3 linked regions of the Canis lupus familiaris genome follow. The protein of the gene in region 3 binds, or shares a complex with, the protein of the main gene of each other region. Links are inferred from orthologs where the notes say so. Each region holds a gene or a part of one and is shown on either strand. Other genes may lie near its edges.

Region 1 (3,633 bases), on a different chromosome or scaffold from region 3:
TTGATAGGAGACAGAGGTCAGAGGGTCGGAGAGCTGACACAGTCTCCGTTTGTCTTGCTCCTGCTGACCACGGGACCACAGACACCAGCTGGAGAAAACAAGCAGAGCGTCAAGTCCGGGGGGGGGGGGGGGGGGAGTCTTGAGACTCAGTTTTCTGGGATCTTCTAGACAAACCTAGAAACAGGCCCTCCTGCCTATTAAGTCACAACCCCCAACACAGTGAAAACCGACCGACTGTTGCATTTGGATAGCTTATCAAATAATCCTTGGAAATTTCAAATCCTCTGATTAAGAAACAGCATGTTAAAAAAAAAAAAAAAAGAAACAGCATGTTGTCTTTCTTCAAATTCAGGAAACAGAATTAAAGTCTCCCCAATAAATATTTTGCTGCTTTTAAAAAATAACCTAACCTTTGGATTCATCTAGATTTACAGGATTATAAAAGTTAAAAAGTGCTGATTAGTTTCCAAAACGATACAAAGGAGCGCAAGAGTCAACAGGTGGCAGAAAGAGAAGACAGACCACGTATTTCAAGGTCACCAGTTAATTCAAGGCTACACGGCTAATGTGATATAAAGAAATCTGCATGGATTAACATCAAGTGAGTTAAAATCAGACTGCTGGGCATCATTCCCCTTAATTTTCCAAGAACTGCCTATCAGCTACCTGTCACCGGCGTTTCGACACTTGGCACGCTCTTACAAGTACTGATGTGAAAAAGAAAGAAATGTGGTCTAGGTTTCCGGTTACCTAGGGCTCATCCGTCCCATTCTCTAAGGTGAAAATGGTGGAATTTGTGCAAAGCAGGCATTGCTCCCAGTTTTCATTTGTAGTGCTGTCGACTTTAAAAGTCCTCGAAGAGCTGCTTGTCGTGCGGTTCGCTCTCAAGCCGTCAGTACATGTCCCTGTAGATTTCCTGCAGCAGGGGGTGCAGGGCTGCGTCCGACTCCGTCTTTTTGATGACCTGCACCAGCTGTGCGTGCTCGGTGACCAGCTGCCGGAGGTCTGCCATTTTTTGAAGGAGTTTTGGGAAGAGAAAGATGTTGTCCGGGTGGTTGGTCTGCAGGTGAAGTTTGAGCACATGCACAATGCCCTCCTGCATTTTTTCAATGTGTCCCACGTTTAGAAGGCCGGGGCGATCTATTCTCAAAAGAAATAAGAGACGGTTGTGATAAACCTCCCACGGACACCTCCTAACTGTTTATGGGTTCGGGAGACCAAACATTCTTACTCTTACACTGCCTTCCAATAACGTTGACTCGGCGGGAAGACAGACCTCGATTCTTCCAAAGTCACTGGGCCTAATGCGCAGACAGGACAAATACTCGATCCTAAGTATTTTTGTACTCCCTTAAGTCGACCAGCTATCCTACACCATGGCCCTTTCATTTTGGATTTCCTTGATGACCACCAATTAGGGGAAAAAACCCAAAACATAGGAGTAATCAGACATTCTGATGACGATTAAAACAACCAGTTTTGTATAATATGAAATGAAATACATCTTGAATCAAAACTAGATATTCAGTTTTAAGTTCTCCACCACTGTTTTAAGGATTGCGTTAGACTGGGTTTTGTGGTAAAAAGCACTCGTTAGGGGAACAGATGCTAGGAATCTTCCAATATGAATCTGCTGCATAGACAGTGGAGTGAGATGTGAGTGGTAGATGCTACCTCGATGGGGTGCTGACGAGCCCCAGGAATGCCTGAGATCCGGTGCAGGCAGTTCAACGTGTACACCACACGCCCTCCCTGGGGCAGCTCAACCGCAGGCACCAGACCTCCTGGGACAGAGGAATGCACACGTCCTGGGCACACGGGTCTTTGGTCTAGAGTATTCCCTGTCCCCACTGCCATCCAATAGGCAGTGCTCTCTTTAAGGCCCCACTCCTTACTAGGGTTGTTAAAAGTGCTGCTAAGGATGTGGACTTTTTCATTGCTTTTTCTGGGGTTGTAAAATGAATATAATTACTAACTTTTTAAAAGGAGAGATTAAAAAAACAAAGTGAATTCCCCTCGTAAGGTTTAAGGTATACCACACCAGACACTTTTCTGTACATAGGATTGATATATGATTTTTTTTTTTGAGAGAGAGAGAAATGGAGAACATGTGCGGTGAGACTCCCCACTCAGTGCAGGGCCCAATGTGGGGCTGGATCTCACGACCTTGAGATCATGACCTGAGCTGAAATCAAGAGTCACATGCTTAACTGACTGAGCTGACCGGGCGCCCCGGGATTGATAAGCGATTATAACTTCTTTTAGAAAACTCTGCTCGTACTACCTATAAATGGTTGTGCGCTTGCTTTTTACTCACAGCACTACATCTCGAGCATACAAAGGACAATGTAGATTATGTACAACTGTTTTTGCATTTTACATTTTTTGCCAGAGCAGAAGGACTCCCTCCACCTGACTGGGGGCAGCTGAACAGTAACAGGAACAGGCCTTGTGGGGCTTCCAGCGTCTGGGCGTCTGTGGCCAGCCTCAGCCCTGCAAGTCAGCAAACCGTGCAGGACAGTACAGCTTCTGGCAGTTTGCGGCAGTGGTCGGTGGTCACCCCCCTTGGCCTCCCTGGGGGCTGGGTGAGGTCAGCTGAGTTTACGGTATAGGGATGACCTTCTTATACCAGGACAGGGTTATTTAAAGGAACATGACACTGAGCCAAAATTCTGGGAGCTGCAGAGCCAGCTTCCTTGCAGAGAGGCCCAGATTTTCCTTCACTGGGATCCATTTCCTTTGGCAAAGCAAACTGCAAACACTGCCAGTGAGCTACTGATATTTTTCATTATGAAATGGAATAAATATACCAATGGTGAAATAAACTGCACTAACATCTGTACGGCCCTTTATAGAATACTGCCTATAATACGGATATAACACTATAATAATAGAATTATATAACAGTAACATGATACACTGTACATTGTAACATAATTCTTTCTAATATATATTAAATATATTAGATAAAACTATATTACCATTACACCTAATATATTATGTTTGATATGATTATATTATGATTACAAATAGAATATTACATATACAACATAATTATGAATGGGACATATTCATTTACTGCACAACTATGTGTTTATATATAATAATGTATGCTGTTATGTGATATGATAGGATATAAATCTCACTGAATTCCAATCGGCGGCGATGTAGGGGCATAGACGCCCTCCCATCTGCCAGCGCATGCTCCACTGTGCATGATGCACGTGTGCACCAAGAGGCTGCAGGTGACACGGCGCTGGGTTACGTCAACGACTTACCTCCACAGCAAATGATAGCAGCCACAAAAAGGGAGATGTCGCTGTCATCTAGCTCCAGTGCATTGAACTTCATCGCAAAATCAAACTTTGGTTCCATGATATCACAGAACGGTTTCCTTAGGCTCTTTAGGAACTCACGAGTTATAAAGCCATTTCCATAGGCTACCAGCATCCCGTCTTTATTCATCACAGAAGACAGCATCGCAAATATGGCCTCATACACTCCATATTTCAGTAGAGTGACCTGATCATTCAAGTCCAAGTTCGCGAAGCCAGGGATGGACTTGGCGAACTCCGTGAGCTCCGTGACGGTCTCCACAGATGTGCACTGGCAGCAGTGGAAGATGCGCACCTC
Region 2 (4,211 bases), on a different chromosome or scaffold from region 3:
GGTCTCTGTCTGTCTCTCTGTGTCTCTCATGAATAAATAAAATCTTTTAAAAAGGGGGCGGGGGCTTCCAGTTGGGGCTGGCAGGGAGGTGGGGGATAGGAGGTAGGTAGACAAGCATGGGCACAGATGACAAAATATATGCTCTGGTATATGATGGATGCTACTATTGGCCCAAGGGGAACAGCTAGTTCCAGCCCAAGGACCTGGCCCTGGGCAAGCAAGACCTGGGCAGAGAAGGCTGGACACTATTTCAGAGGGGACCTGCCCTGGCATGGACGTCAGCAAGACCAAGGATAGGGTGGTTCTGGGTTCCCAGGAGGCTGAGGGTACTCTACATAGCAAGAGAAACTGTGAAATTCTAGAAAGGTGTATTAGGGCCCTAAATGCCTTGGTGAAAGCTCTGCATTTTTTTCCTGAGACACTGGAAGCATCCATGGAAGGGCTCGCTATGAGCAGGAGAGGGACAGGGTCATCTCTAGATGAGTGGGTGGACAGCCCACAGGGGATAGGATGGAGGCTCAGGAGGAAGATTTGATGTGATGGTCCAGGGGGAGGAGAGGAAGCCTGAACAAGGCTGTGGGGACACAGAAGATGGGTCATCCTGAGGGCAGGAAGGATGGGGTGCATTCTTGCCTGGGTATCCGAGGTACTGTATCTGCCATTGGTGTCTGGAAAGGTGTCCAACTCAGGCAAGTTCCCAGCTCCTGCCAGGGAAGGTGGTGAGTGGAGCAGAGTGTTGGGGATGCTCAAAATCCCATCCCTCCACATGGAGCCCCACTTCTGGCACACCTGAGATCACAAACTCATAGACCTTGTGTGGGTCGTGGGGGTCTTTGCTCCGATCTTCAGCTACACGCAACTCCTCCTTCCGGTTCAGGGCAGATCGGAAATTCCTCTTCCAGGTGGGCAGATCAGGTTTATCCTTTCCAGGAGTGTAGGCACCGCTGACCTCGGCCCACGCCTGGGGATCCAGTTGGTACCAGGATGGTGAGGATGACTAAGACCCCGGCCCAAGGGCGCTCTCCCCTGGCACGTTCTAACTTGACAAGGATCCATCCCCAAACTCTTGGACTCTGCATCGTAAGCACCCTCCCACCCCCACCCCCCCCCACCCCCCCGCTTCACCTATTCAAAAACTTTGCTTTCTAAGCCAACCTTCCAGGTCCTACTGGGCGTCTAACTCTGCCAGCAACCTGCCCCAGGACAGGTTGTAATGGCCCCGCCCCCTCGTACTCGAACTCGGGTTACCACCACTGGTGTATCCGAATTTGGTGGGAAATCACCTCAGCTTTGGGGCCAGGTCTCGCCTCGAAGGTTCCAAAACCAGCCCTCAGAATTCTACGACCCAAAGCCCCGCCCTCTGCGAGCCCTCAATCCCCAGTTTGCATTTCTCTCGAGTTCTAACCCCGCTTTTCCGGTTCTTTTTCCGGAACCTGGCCGTTCCAGCCGTGCCCGCCTTGCGACATCCGTCCGCTGATCCTCCTAACCCTGCCCAGTCCTGTCCTAACTCCACTCACCTCCACCTGCCACCGTCAGCGCCGGCCGACCCTACGCAGGCTAACCCCTCCCTCTCGGCTCCGCCCCCTGGGAGTCCACCCCTCGGGTAGGTTAGCTCAGGGCTCCCCGGCGGCACGAAGCTCTCGCACCTGGAAGATGCCGAAGTCCTCCTGCTGGGCATCCTGCCGCAAGCCATGCTTCCAAGGGATGCGAAAGCGCGTGCGGCGCTCGTCCAGCCAGGCCACCCCCTCCAGCTGCCCTAGGTCCAGCTGTGACACCAGCCAGGGCAGGATCCGCGGTTTTGGGGTTCCCATGGTCCGGCCTGCGCTTAGAGGGCAGTTCGTGGGCGCGGATGGCCTCTTAGCTACCCGCCCCCACCCCCGAGGGTTCCGCTCCCAGACCTTCCTCTCATGGGGCGGCGGTGCAGCGTCCCTCACTTATATTTTCCTGGGGTATAAAACAAGACAACTCCTCTTTTCACCTCCAGACAGTCCCCCAAGTCAACGAGGACTTCCCGCCCAATCCATTTGAGACGGCCCGTCTTTCCCCACCTCCTCCTGAGCAGATCCTCTACCTCCCCAACTCAGCCAGGGTAGATTCTTCCCTCTTCCGTTGTAAACCCTCTCCTCCCCTCCCCTCCCCCACATCACCTAAGGCAGTCACCTCCGCGTCCAAGGTAGAGACTCCCCTGGTTATTTCAGGGCAGACGTTATTACCTTGTAGATCTCTACCTCCCGCACTTATCTGTGTTGCGGACTCCTACAGAAGAGCCCCTCACCCATTTCCACGGTGGACCCTCCATCCACCATCCTTCCCCCCAAACAGCTTCCTTCCTCTAGGGCACCCCCCCCCCACACATACTCTATAGAGTGGACTGCCTCCCATTTTCAGAGTCTGCTCTTCTCTGCCTTAGATCCCCCCATGCAGACGCCTCCCCCCCGCCCCCGCTACTACTTTTTATTTCACAGCCGACCTCCGGCAGCGGCCATAGCTTCACTTTTACTCGAACTCTGCTTCACCTTCCCTAGAGTACACCTTGCTCCTCTAGACTCAGGGCAGACCCAGCACGTCTCGCGTTTCTCGCCCCGGGCGCCACCAATTCCCCAGATCTTCCCAGTTACCTACGTAGAGGGTCGGGGCGCTCAGGGTGCTAGAACCCGCCCCTGCCTTTGGGGTCCGATAACTCTCGAACTTGCAGCTGCACACCCTACTTCCCGTCAGCTGAGCTTCAGAGAAAGAGGGTTTTCTTTTCTATCGATTTCATAAAACAAAAACAACTTTATCTGCGATTGGTTGACAAGACTCCAGAGCCAAAGAGGCGGCACCAAGAACCCGGACGCCCCCGGTTCTCCCCTCCCCCCCCGCTATGCCCTTTATAGGTCTTCCGGCCAAAGGCATGCTGGGAACGCCACATGCAAATCAGATGGGTATCCAGCGCTCCGCCCCTCCCACTACGGGGCTGACACCAACCCGGCCCAGTGCGCAGGCGCGGGAAAGTTGCACTAATAAAAGTTTGCTCAAGTTCGGTGAAGGAGAGGGGGTCGGCGGCTTCCCGGCCCCAGGTAAGCTGGGCTTTTGTGCAGGCTGGGGCGAGAAGGGAAAAGGACGGGTCTAGGAGCGGGCACCTCAGTCCCGCTTCCTGGACATCTATGCACCCCGGGTCCCCAAGATTCCAGCGTGGGTCAGATAATGGAACTACACTTCCCAAGGAGGCTGCGCGGCGCACAAGTGCGGACCGAGGGGAAGGTTTGCCATGAAGCCTGCTGGGATTCGTAGTTCCTGATTCTCTAAGAGCATGAGCGGCTTGGCGTTATGCCTCCAGAAACCAGAAGTCGTTGCCCCAAGTTCCGTTCTTTCTCAGACTCAACAATTCAGATCCTCCAGCCCCCTTCTCCAAAAAATCTTCAGAGTCCAGCCCCCAGTCTTTTGACCCCAGGAACCCGGGTCCCTAAGCCTCTTCCTCTCCAAGGATCAAGGAGTCTTCGGCCTCATCGCTCTTCTCCCTCTGAGAACTCAAGAGTCTGGGTCCCCAGACCCTAACTCCCCTAAAGGATTTAGGAGTTGAGACTCTCACCCCCTTCTTCCTTCGGGAATTCGTGGGTCCTGGCGCCCTCCTTATTCAGGGACTAGGCATTTGGGCACCAATCCTCCACTTCAGTTCAACCCTGGAGCCCATCCCCCAGCTCCCTTTTTCACAGGTGCCCCCATGGCAGGCTCAGAAGAGCTGGGGCTCCGGGAGGACACGCTGAGAGTCCTAGCTGCCTTCTTTAGGCGAGGTGAGGCTGCTGGGTTCCCCAGCCCTACCCCACCCAGGTAAGAGGAGCTGCCTTCTTTCCGCTGGGGCCTGCATTTGGGGTGGGGCCCTCTCTAACTTTTGTACCTGGTCTCTGTCTGCGTTCCCCTCTTTTATATCTGGCCCTTTATCCTTGTCCCTGGGGTTGCAGTGACAGGCCCTCAGTGGGAGGAAGAAGGGACTGCTTGCAAGGGGCCTCTGCAGTCATTCTCTGAGGTCCCCTTCCCCAGGAGTCCTGCCCAGGAGGAGCCAACAGATTTCCTGAGCCGTCTTCGAAGATGTCTTCCCTGTCCCCTGGGGCGAGGAGCAGACCCCCCTGTGTCCCCTCGGCCTTGCTCCTTGCCCCTCCGCCCATGCTATGTTTCAGAGCCTGGTAAGAGATTTTCCTAGATCACCTGGACACCGGCAGGGCCAAAACTTT
Region 3 (3,645 bases):
CATTTACAAGGGTCACCTAACAATGTTCTGACACCCTGCTGACTTCATGCTGGACCTCCAATGGGTTCCCTCTGAGTCCCCCTGCGAGGCTGCCTCACCCCGCAAAGCATCTTCAGTTATCTGCACCCCTCCCACTGCACCAGGCACTGGGTCCTGTTCCACTGCCCATTTACTCTGAGCACACCTTCCCATCTGTAACAGTGCACCCACGTGTAGCCACGGTGATAATTTCCCTAGTGTGGCAGTCAACCTCCTGCTCAAATCTATCCGTGGTCGTCCAGGCCCTACTGAGTAAAGAAAGCCCAAGCTCCTCAGCGGGCACAAGGACTCAGATGCAACTTCTACTTTGGCCCCATGGGGAATGATGGCTCAGAGGAGAGATGTGCTCCTGGGCTGCCCCTCAGAGCTGCGGCTCATTTCTCATTCCCACCATAAACCTCATGGGCCCTCAGGCTGCAGTCTAGCTCTCTGTCATCATTTCTGAAGAAGTAAAACTTGGGGAATGGCAGGCAGAAAAGATATAAGGGGGGGAGACAATTATTTTTCTGCTTTAGCTTTTAACCTGTGGTGTGCAATCCCAACACGATGGAAAAGCAGCACGATAAAACAAGTCCAGGAAACACAACCTACTTTTTTTGCGTGGCTGTGAAGGAGATGTTGACTGAGAGGTGGCCCCATTAGCACTGTTCTCTTCTTCCTCTTTAGCTTCTACTTTGACTTCCGGCTTCTTCTCGTCCACTTCCATCGGTTCTGATTTCTGTTCTGTTGTGTCTGTCTCTTCTTTAACTTGAGAAGATCCTTGTAGATCCTCTTCCATCATCTTGAGAAATACAGAATTACAGGTAATAATGTATGAATAGCAAAGACCTTTATTCTAACTCAGCCTCACTGGAAGTCTCTTAACAATCTATCTGGGCTTATCAAGCTGTACCCTACTCAAGAGTTGCATTTACCATCCCTTCCTCTCCCCCAGGAAGGATTGGAACATCTGGTGTCAGGTGAGTTGCCTTAGGACAGCACCACTGCAATTATAGTCCCAATTTAAAAATTTTATATGCTAGAGTGCTTATAAGACATTGCATATACACACCCCATCACCTGCCCAGTAGTTTTACATGTAGGCATTTCTAGTTTGGAACAAGAATCTTCTTGAAAGTTGGGGCAAGTTTCAAAAACCAAACTGCTCAGAGGGCCAGGCAGGTGAAGTACATGATGCAGCAGGAGGTGTGTGAGCCAGAGTGGGGAGTGGAGACTCCGGCAAATTGGAGCCCAAGCCCCATCTAAAAGCCAGGGCTGAGGCTCCCACCCAGACTGCTGACATAGGAATGTAAGCACAAGGCTGACAGAGCTTCTCATTTTCAAAGAAAAGCCAGAAACCCAGAGTTTTATTTGTAATTCCTCATTTTAAAAAATATTGTGTGGGCCAAACAAAACATGTGGATGGGGGTGGATCCAGCCCATGGCTTGCCAGTCTTTAGCTTTTGCCACAGGTTAATTAATGAATGAGCACACCCTTGTGCAGTCTAACTCTACAGAACTACCTATGAATGAAGAATGACAGTGCAGTCACTGGATGATTCAATCATTTAGAATATAAACCAGTGTCCTCTTCATTTCTGGCAAAATATAGTAAAACCCGTACCTAATACCTAAAAATAACTAATCTATTTTTAACATTTATCCTCTCTGAATCCATCATCAAACAGGACATTAAAACAAAAAGCAGTGTCGTCCATGGAGAACATGCGGTGTCTCGCCTCAGGACGCTTCAGTATGGTGCACACCTGTTCACGCCCCAGGAAGGGCACCTACCGTGGACCCAGGCTCCCCCTTGGCTTCACTGGCATCCGGCTCAGTGTCCTCGGTCTTGACCTCTGCCTTCACTTCCAGCATTGGTACCTCGGGTCCTGTCTGTTGGGAGTTGGTTTCGGCGCTGGCCACCGAGGAAGGAGTGGGGACCCGGTTATCGATGCTGGCGGCTGCCTGGGAAAGCTGTGGAAAAACCAGAATTACATATCTCTGTTAATAAAACAGAAATGATGTTTAATTCTGCTATTCACCAAATACCCAGTTTCTTATGAACATTTCTCAACACTAATCTAATAGACACCCCTATCTGAGAGAACTGAAGAAGAGAAAATTTAAAACAGGAGTCCCAGAGGAAGTCAATGAGGTCGAAACAGAAAGAGCTTCCTACCACGAATGCAGAGATGAAGGTGCAGTGCTTCCTACAGGTTGATATAAAACTATTTTCTGGAAGTTATTTATTTATTTATTTATTTATTTATTTATTTATTTATTTATTTATTTATTTATTTATTTATTTACGAGAGACAGAGAGAAAGAGAGATAGAGAGGCAGAGACACAGGCAGAGGGAGAAGCAGGCTCCATGCAGCGAGCCTGATGTGGGACTCGATCCCGGGACTCCAGGATCATGCCCTGGGCGGAAGGCAGGTGCTAAACCGTTGAGCCACTCAGGGATCCCCTGGAAGTTTTCTAAGTCACAGAATCTTCTATTTTAAAATTAATTCTTTCCAATAAGGCCATTCAAGTTTACCATAAATGGCTGAAGTGTAGATCTAGAAGTACCCAAGTAGGAAGGGGGATAAAAGGCTGACACGGAACAAGGACAGGTATTTTAGCCTGTGAAGTGCAGGCACAGGGGTGGTGAAGGAGAAGTCAGCAAACAAGGCCAGGAACCACCGTAAGAATTCTCAACTTTCAAAGTCTCACTTATAGTTGTTGTTTGTTTGTTTAGATTTTATTTATCCATTTGACAGAGAAAGAGAGAAAGCAAGAGAGCATGCGTGAGTCAGGGAAGAGCAAAGAGGGAGGGAGGGAGATAAGCAGACTCCATGTCCAGCACAGAGCCTGATGCAGGGCTCAATCCCATGATCCTAAAATCATGACCTGAGCCAAAACCAAGAGTCCGAAGCTTAACCAATTGAGCCACCCAGGTGCCCCTACCTAATAAGAGCTTTAACTGAAGTAAGCAGAAGAGAATATAAAATTACAAAGGAATGTTAGAGATTAGAAATATAAAATAAGGATAAATAATAAGCACAATTCCTAAGAAGAAATATAAACAGTAATGTTATGTTGGGGGTATTTATTTATTTATTTATTTAATATCCTCAGTCTCCAAGAATAAAGTTAATGTATTTCAGGGGGAAAGATGGTTTCTAAGTTAGGCTGATACGAAAATGGATGTGAAGATTTCAGTGATAGGGGCACGTGGGTTGCTCAGTCGGTTAAGCATCAGACTTTGGCTTGGGTCATGGTCCTGGGGTCCTGGGATGGAGCCCCCAGTCGAGCTCCCCGCTCAGCAGGGAGCCTGCTTCTCCCTCTCCCTCTGCAGTTCTCCCTGCTTGTGCTTGCGTGCGTGGGCTCTCTGTCAAATAAATAAGTAAATAAATCTTTTAAGGGGGGGATAAAAGACTTCAATGGTAACTGGGGCAATGCCAGCAGGTCTGGGAAGGACTGGGCAGAGGTGAGCTACAGGAAGTGCTAACCTGAGTTTGCCATTCTGTCATGAGACGAAAAGTCTCCAGGTCTGAAAACAAGACAGGCAAAGCCAAAGCACATACAATTAGGAAGGAATGTGCCTTGTTTATCATATCCTCATGATGTTAAGAGAAAAATTA

The links.
Region 1: the proteins of CREBBP (region 3) and PPARA are in contact, whole or in part, in a crystal structure (PDB 9IWL), measured with the Homo sapiens proteins. The link is inferred for Canis lupus familiaris from reciprocal best matches to the Homo sapiens genes CREBBP and PPARA. Residues at the interface, in NP_004371.2 of Homo sapiens: Asp62, Ala63, Ala64, Lys66, His67, Lys68, Gln69, Leu70, Ser71, Leu73, Leu74, Arg75; in NP_001001928.1 of Homo sapiens: Val284, Thr285, Thr288, Glu289, Lys292, Phe297, Leu302, Asn303, Gln305, Val306, Thr307, Leu309, Lys310, His457, Pro458, Leu459, Glu462, Ile463.
Region 2: the proteins of CREBBP (region 3) and IRF3 are in contact, whole or in part, in a crystal structure (PDB 5JEM), measured with the Homo sapiens proteins. The link is inferred for Canis lupus familiaris from reciprocal best matches to the Homo sapiens genes CREBBP and IRF3. Residues at the interface, in NP_004371.2 of Homo sapiens: Leu2070, Thr2073, Leu2074, Lys2075, Ser2076, Ser2079, Gln2081, Gln2082, Gln2084, Gln2085, Val2086, Asn2088, Ile2089, Leu2090, Asn2093, Gln2095, Leu2096, Ala2099, Phe2100, Gln2103; in NP_001562.1 of Homo sapiens: Pro198, Gly199, Glu200, Glu201, Trp202, Glu203, Ser221, Leu322, Ile326, Leu329, Ile330, Thr333, Thr370, Cys371, Leu372, Ala374, Leu375, Glu377, Met378, Ala379, Val381, Gly382, Gly383, Ala384.

What each region holds. Positions count from the first base shown.
Region 1 is NC_049231.1:20,888,628-20,892,260, forward strand, and holds the end of PPARA (peroxisome proliferator-activated receptor alpha), read right to left. Parts: coding exon 3,279-3,633; intron 1,141-3,278; coding exon 893-1,140; 3' UTR 529-892; downstream 1-528. UniProt on the Homo sapiens protein: Ligand-activated transcription factor. Key regulator of lipid metabolism. Activated by the endogenous ligand 1-palmitoyl-2-oleoyl-sn-glycerol-3-phosphocholine (16:0/18:1-GPC). Activated by oleylethanolamide, a naturally occurring lipid that regulates satiety.
Region 2 is NC_049222.1:107,548,767-107,552,977, reverse strand, and holds the start of IRF3 (interferon regulatory factor 3), read right to left. Parts: upstream 2,856-4,211; 5' UTR 2,619-2,855; intron 1,825-2,618; 5' UTR 1,812-1,824; coding exon 1,647-1,811; intron 962-1,646; coding exon 790-961; intron 705-789; coding exon 634-704; intron 1-633. Other genes in the region: BCL2L12 (bcl-2-like protein 12), read left to right, coding at 2,921-3,059, 3,696-3,810, 4,021-4,163.
Region 3 is NC_049227.1:37,802,862-37,806,506, reverse strand, and holds part of CREBBP (CREB-binding protein), read right to left. Parts: intron 1,993-3,645; coding exon 1,813-1,992; intron 821-1,812; coding exon 631-820; intron 1-630. UniProt on the Homo sapiens protein: Acetylates histones, giving a specific tag for transcriptional activation. Mediates acetylation of histone H3 at 'Lys-18' and 'Lys-27' (H3K18ac and H3K27ac, respectively).